Linked DNA regions of Struthio camelus. The protein of the gene in region 2 interacts with the protein of the main gene of each other region in a pairwise test. Links are inferred from orthologs where the notes say so. Each region holds a gene or a part of one and is shown on either strand. Other genes may lie near its edges.

The links.
Region 1: the proteins of FAM161A (region 2) and MIPOL1 interact in binary tests that used the Homo sapiens proteins (3 or more experiments, as listed by UniProt). The two-hybrid records come from large-scale screens. The link is inferred for Struthio camelus from reciprocal best matches to the Homo sapiens genes FAM161A and MIPOL1.

Annotation. Positions count from the first base shown.
Region 1 is NC_090946.1:56,351,928-56,355,673, reverse strand, and holds the start of MIPOL1 (mirror-image polydactyly gene 1 protein), read right to left. Parts: upstream 2,874-3,746; 5' UTR 2,730-2,873; coding exon of another isoform or gene 2,663-2,729; exon of another isoform or gene 2,541-2,662; intron 1-2,540. Other genes in the region: SLC25A21 (mitochondrial 2-oxodicarboxylate carrier), read left to right, coding at 2,663-2,729.
Region 2 is NC_090944.1:131,151,638-131,155,383, reverse strand, and holds the start of FAM161A (protein FAM161A), read right to left. Parts: upstream 2,286-3,746; 5' UTR 2,080-2,285; coding exon 2,008-2,079; intron 609-2,007; coding exon 364-608; intron 1-363. UniProt on the Homo sapiens protein: Involved in ciliogenesis.

The sequences.
Region 1 (3,746 bases), on a different chromosome or scaffold from region 2:
GTCCTACTGTGTTAACACAGACAAGGATATTCATTTTGAATCAGAAATCCTTCATATAATCTTCAAAGTGAGGCTGAATACTGGGTGTGATTTTGGGCATCTTGAAATAGAGCTAGGAGGCTAGATTTGCTGGCAGCTTTTCAAAAGGGAAGGAAAACAAAGGTGATTTTGCCATCCTTATTTTTTAACTCCTCTTTCCTGAACCTCATCTATTCTGAAAAAAGACTGCTTTGTCCACGCAACCAAGACATTAGTTTATGCTAAACTCATGTAATAGCATAGATATGTAACAGCATAGATAATTTGTAACTAGGTGAACCTATGTATTCTTGCAAAACAGTTACTAAAGACAGATGTTAGTACAAAGTTCTTTCCTTATGGAATCACAGTTAGATCTGTTTTTTATGCCCAAATACTATGCTTATGTGCTCTTTTTCGTGTCTGATAGGTATTTATCTGCAGTCTGCTCCATGATAGTTTAGTAAGAGCAGGGCTTCCAGGTGTCCATTTGGAGATGTTCTTGGAGGCAGTGACTTTAAGGTAAAATCCTAGGCATAGTGAAACCATGGGCATTTTGCTAAAATCAGCATTTTATGATCCTGACTATAGGAGTAGATGTAGTATAGCAGAGTTAAAGAAAATACCTACTGTTTTTCCTCATCCACCCTTCCTGGAAAGGTGCCTTTAAGGTACAAGATCAATCTGCATTTATTCTAATAATACCACTGCTCTTCCTCCAATAAAAGGGAAAAAATTGACAAAAAATCCATTGTGAAGAAAGTGGAAGTACTCAAAAACTACTATTAAAGGGAAGCTACACATTCCTGAAGTTGATTGTGATTAAAATGCATTCTTTTTTTCATAAAGGTGGAATGCAGTGCAGCCAAAGAAAATTTGTTTCAGATATTGTTGTTTAAGAGAGCGTTCTCAAATCACAGCTCTCCAGATTGGATGGAAAGAAATAAAGAGGTCACTGTTAGGCTGAGAGAGAGAAGCTGGAAGGAAATTAAGCAAAACAATGAAAACCTATTCAAACAAAATTAATCTCATTTAACTGTCCAGCTCATTCACTGGCAAAGAACCTTATTTTCTACAGACAAAAGCAGTGATTTTTAGATGAGCATTTTGAGAAAGAAAAATCCTTCAAGAGGCTACAAGTGGGGTTTGTGCATAAAGTTTTGAAACGACAGTGTTCTCATCCCTCCTGGCAGGCCTTCTTTTTTTCTGAGAATCATTTGTCAAGCCTTTCCAAACACATTTTCCTGTTTTGAGAACAAATTGCAGGTGACTTAGTACTTGAAAGCCACGACTGGATAAAATGTTTTCAGAAAAGTTTTTTCATGAAGTCCTGGTAGACAACAAGTTGACCATGAGTCAGTAATGTGCCCTTGTGGCCAAGAAGGCCAATGGTCTCCTGGGGTGCATTAGGCAGAGTGTTGCCAGCAGGTCGAGGGAGGTGATCCTCCCCCCTCTCCTCAGCCCTGGTGAGGCCTCACCTGGAGTACTGTGTCCAGTGCTGGGTTCCCCAGTACAAGAGAGACATGGCACTCCTGGAGAGAGTCCGGCAGAGGGCTATGGAGATGATTAGGGGACTGGAGCATCTATCCTGTGAGGAAAGGCTGAGAGCTGGGCCTGTTCAGCCTGGAGAAGAGAAGACTGAGGGGGGATCTGTCAATGTGCAAAAGTATCTGAAGGGAGGGTGTCAAGAGGATGGGGCCAGACTCTTCTCTGTGGTGCTCAGCGACAGGACAAGAGGCAACGGGCACAAACTGAACCACAGGAAGTTCCATCTGAACCTGAGGAAAGAATTCTTCACTGTGAGGGTGACAGAGCACTGGAACAGTTTGCCCATCCTTGGAGATATTCAAAAGTCATCTGGACATGGTCCTGGGCAACGTGCTCTAGGTGACCCTGCAGGGGGGTTGGACTAGATGATCTCCAGAGGTCTCTTCCAACCTCAACCATTCTGTGATTCTGTTTTGAAATACCCTTGTCCTTTAAACACTGAAGAACTGGTAACAAAGTCCAAAGGTCTTAAAAGAACAGTATGCTTCAGAAAGAGAGCGGGTGAGCCCAGCAGCACCACCAATGCTTCCTGGAAGTGGAGTACCAGAGAATTCACGGGGGTGTTACCTGGGTCTCGGCAACGGTGCGGGGGCAGGAGTGCCACAGAAGAAGTGGGTGCTGCATGGCACAGGCCCAGAAAAAAGGGCTGAACGGCACGGGTCTGAAGAGGTCACAGGCTTTCCCCATCAGTTCTCTGTCAGACCGCCAAAGCTTTGCCTCCCTGCCCCAGCAAGGCGGTTCCCAGGGCCTGCTGCCACAGCTCTCCCCGAGCGGGGGCTGCCTCCCAGGGCGGGAGGCTGCGATTCTCCCGGCTGGAACCGATCGCGGTGCCCCTTGCCCGCCGTGATCAGCCGCAGCTGCGAGGCCCCACTCTGCCCACGGGCTACAAAGGCCGCTGCGCGGCAGCGCGGGCTCCGCCAGCGCGGGGCCTGAACCGCGCGCGCCCCCGCCCTCCCCCAGCCGCGCCGCGGCCCCGGCCCCGGCGCAGATAACCGCGGTCTGCGGCTCCCGCCCCCGCGGCGGGCGGGCCGGCCGGCCCTTCCCCCCCGCCCAGCGCAGCTCTGCTCGGCGGGCCGCTCTCCGGGCCCAGAGGAGCATGGCTGGGAAGCGCGGCGGCTTTCTGCAGGAGGCCTCTCACCAAATCGTCGCTGGAGGCTCGGCGGGTAAGCGGGCGCCTTCCTGCCCCAGCCCTCAGCGGCCGCCTCGTCGCCGCGCCGCCGCCGCTGCCTTTCGCTCTCCTCAGGCGCAGAAGCGGCGGCGGCGGCGCTTAGCCTCGCGCGGCGGCGGCTCCTCCCCCGCCGGGCGGCGCTGGGCGGCCCCGCGGGGTCGCGGTGGCGGCCCCGGGCCGGCGGTGGGGCAGGCGCCCCCTCGGGCCCGGGCGGGCCGGGCCGGGCCGCGGCAGCTGGGTCCGCGGCAGCGCTGGGGCCGGGGGGCGGCGGGAGGCGGCGTGCCCGCCCCGCCCTGCCCTGCCCTGCCCCCCTCCCTCCCCGCTGCGGGAGCCTCGGCGGCCCGCGCCCTGCAGCCCCTGGGCTGATAAGGGGCTGCTGGCTGGCTGTGACCGCCCTGCTGGCCCCCGGTGATCGTCTCTAACAGGCGGCCGTTGCTTCTTTCCTTTCTTTGAACGTGGACTTAGTGCAGTCTCTGTGACCCGCGTGCTTGCCGGGGGCCCGCGTCAGCCTCCAGCGGCGCGTTCATGCCGGGTGGAAAAACTTCGTTCCGTTTTTGAAATGTGTTTGCTGTGGCGCTTTCCCTTTGACGCTGCCTCATAGAGAAAACGACGCTAGAGCGAGCTGCGAGTGTCAAAACTACATATGTTTACCCAGCAGTGAAAGTATTACTAGTTCATTTCTTTGGTCCCTGTTTAGGGAGAGACTTGGATTATTTAGTTTAACGGCGTACAGAGCATTTAGATGGAAATACTGCTCTCTCAGTGGGAGTTTGTGTCCTGTTAGCATTTCAACTCTGTACTGTTTTTTAATTGTTCTTAAGTATCTCCTTCTGGGTCGAAATGCCCTGTTTGTTCTGATGGTGCTCTTGTAGGTCAAGCCTTGTTTTATGCTTATTCTTTGCAGCACAAGCTTTTTTGGGGGGCACATCCATAGAAACAGTCCCAACAAAATTCACCAGTGCGAGTAAAACAAATATGGAAGTAAAATGTTGTTTAGATACCTGGCAACAGG
Region 2 (3,746 bases):
TGGGGAAGAGGAGAGAGGCAAGGCAAAGGAAAAGAGAAGAACATGGGGCATTCACTCCAAATCATAGTTGTAAAGTAATTTAGATTAGGAATAAATCAGCATTTCTAAAGGAAAGGCACCATGCTTTACTAAACATGCTGCCCAGTCGCAGCTTCACACACACCCCTGTAAATCTCATAGTTCATTAGCAAGGTGAGTAAGCATTTTTAAATATTAAAGCTAGCTTTTTATGATTATCTACTTATCGGAAATGGTAACTTTCCAGCTTCAGAAAAAAATTGCCATACTTACTGATGTCTGCAAAGCACTTTAGAACCTTCAGACAGAAGGCACCACCAAACTGAAGATTATTATTAAACTTACCTATAACATATATTAGGAGCAGCATCTTTTTTGTCCAAAGATTGTGCTCCTTTTAGGTGTAGTTTATTCCGATACATACTTTCTAATTTCGCCATGGTCTCCAGGTGGGCGTTCTTCAGTTCTTCTAGCTTCAAGTAATATTCTTGATTTGAATTGCACATTTTGGAAAAGTCCATCCACTTGTCACAGTTCCCATTTACAGAGGTCTGCTCTTTGTCAGTATTTGAATCCAAATCAAAACCATCCTGGAAGAGATTTTTGTCAAGTTTTGTGAGTGTTAGAAGAAAGGGGACCGAGGTTCATAATATCACTTTATCTGATTAAGTCCAATGAATGGTACAGTAACATCAGAGATACATATGTACAGATTTGAATGCAACATTATATGGAATAGCCTTATTGTATAATAATTTATATACTAAGGGTTCTATCTAAAGCATGTTAAATTCTTAACAGTCTATCCCTGTAATCAGGATATTATATCAGGAAATAAGATCAAAAGGAGTTATTAAAAGTATAACTTGTTTAGCACTGTAATTTTTCCTTGGTGAATTTTTTCCCATGGTGAAACATGCAGCTTAAAAAACCCACATTTTTTAAACAAACTTCTCTGCCTCTCATTTTCATAAGTATTCTCATAATAAGTCATGTGGTATCTTTTGCATAAATGTTTCTATTATTATTTCACAGTGAATTGTGGAAATGGGAAGTATTTTGCATAACTTTCACTTTAAATAGTGTTTCCGCCAGCTTGCACTTTGGGGCAGGTAAGCACGTTCTTTAAACATAAAGCTTGAACAAGTCAGAGAAGTAAGTATTATTAAAAAAGGCTTCTTTTAAGTCATTTTTTGGGCACTATGTTTTAAGAAGTTACAGGGTTAATTTCTTCATCTAAACAATTAGGATAATACTGTTCCACACAGGTATTTTAATAGGCTTTTACATGCCAACCAAAAAAGCCTTGTTTATGTTTTGTCATGTTTTCGGTCCAAAAATCTCAAACTTGTTTTCTCCGTAACGCAGCGATCAAACATAAAGCGAATGCCATGATCAAATAAATGAATTTAAAAAGCTGTTAAAGCATGCCCGATGAAAGGCACCAGCTGAATCTTCCTGAAGCTGTTTCTTTTGACACTGTGTATGCCTCTCTCATTTCAGTTCTTCATCCACGGAAAGACCCCGTCTTTTCCCTCAAGGCAGGCACCCCGCTTCTTCAATCCGCTCTTGGATCCCTTCGGCCCGACGAGCTCATTAAGAGCTCTGCGCCGGCCCCGGCAGCGCAGCACGGCCATCTGTTCCGCGTGCTAAATCAGGCAGATCTCGTCCCCTGCGTCTGCTCTTCCGCCACGTCACTGGTAAGGTCTTCAAAAACGGGAGCTTCCCAGGCTATTTTTACCCCGAGAGCAGCAGCAGCAACGTCGCAGCCAGGCCCCGGGGCGGCGGCGCTCCCCGCTGCCGGCGCAGCTCGGGCTCCGCAGCGGCTCCCACAGCTCGGCCGCCGCCTCCTTCGGCAGCCCCTGCCCGCCGCCCGCTTACAGAGAAAACCCGTCCCACCCGCCTGCCCCCCCCCGCAACAGCAGCCTTGCTGCTGCCCAGCGCCGCCGCCGCCCGCGGCCTCCCGCTCCCGGCGCGGCCCCGCGGTACCTGCTGGGGGGCGGCGGGGGCCCGCGGGCGCGGGGGGCGGAGGCCGGAGGCGGCCCGGGGCGCCGCCGCCATGGCGCCGGCGGCCGGCCGGTTGCGTGCGGGGGGAGAGCGCGGTGGCTCTGAACGCAGACTGCTGCTCTCCGCCCGCCAGCGCCGTTTCTGGCTCTTGACGGGGAGCCGGCAGCGGAGGCTGCTGGGGCCCGGCGGGCTCCTGCCTGTTGGGCGGGAGCCGCGGCGAGGGGATGGGGAGGGGGGGCCCGCCGCCCCGCCGCGGCACGGCCGGCTCCTGCCGCCCTCGCTGCGTCTGCGCCTTCGGCGCTGCAGGGCGGGGTCGGGCCGCGGCCGCCGAGCCGCTCGGCCTGCGCGGCGCCGTGGCCGAGGGCGCCGCCCCGCGCACCGGCCCGGCGGCGGCGGCTCCCCCGCGCCGCTGGGCTGCCGGTGCCGCCTTCCAGCTGCGAAACGGGCATGACCGCGAGCCGTCACGTGCTAGCGAAGAGACACATCAAATACTGCATTGAAATTCGTGTCTGTTCAGTCTGAGGGCAAAAAAAAAAAAAAAAAAAAAACCCACCCAAACCCACCATTCCTACTATACAGACTCATCTCCTAGATAACTTTTTGCAGGATTTTTGCTGGAACGCTGCATTCTCTTTCCCAAACCCAGTCTCCCCCCTGCCCCCAGCTCGAATTATTAAGCACTCTGCTACTTTAAGAGCAGTTCCTACTTGAAATGAGCAAATAGTTGCAGAATAAGGGTAAACTGGGATCATCAGGAATACTCTTCCACTTCCATTAATGATGGCTGGACCTATTTATTTTAGTGAAATTACAAGTACTTTTTAATGCAAAGAAACAGATGAAATGATCACATTGTACAGGCTAGCTGTTAAATCTTGTCAAGAATTGGAAATCTGTGAGGATTGGGAAGGAAAGCTCTAATCAAGAATTAATACCTGAACTGGATAGATCAGTTTAAAAGACTGGCCTCATTGCTGGGAGTAATCCTGTGAGGTAAGGCATAATTCATATTTTTAATTAGCCAATAAATCATGCATACAGAGCTTAAAGCCTAAATCAGTTAATTTGTCTTCTTTTTAAAATATCTGAATTATTCTGAATGATATACATAGCCATAAAAGTGATGATTTCAACTAAACCTGGTCAACACATTCAGTAACAGAAACTTCCTCAAAAGCCACACATCTGATTTTGATAGCAAATAAAAATGCAATAAATTTTGGGAAGAGAAATAATCTCGTTTAAATATAAAGAAGAATCTGATCATCTCAATATAGCAACGAAGAGGATTACAGCATTAATTCAGACTTTCATCCTAAGAGTTAGAAGCAAGTTGAAATATTTTTACCCTAAGCCATAAAATGTAGTTAACATTCACTCTAAACTGAATGAATCCTGATGTAGCCAGGATTCTCCTGTTAGCCAAGGTAAAACCACTGCAGTGCAGGTCACAACCCTGCTAACAGCTCAGCCCCATGAAGTGACCCTACTCATCCTGTGTACGCAGTGCTAGCTAACGCACTGTCCAAGATGCGGCAAGACCACGAAGCTGCCTTTTCGAACAAGAGTACGTATTTCCTCCAGGTATTAATAGAATTTAGGATGTATTTGATGAATTGCTTCTTAAAATAGGGCAATTTATCATTTGACTTCCCAGCCTGTTTTGGGAAAATCAACTAACTGTTGCAGTGATCTCACACAATCTTACCATTTACTTTCAC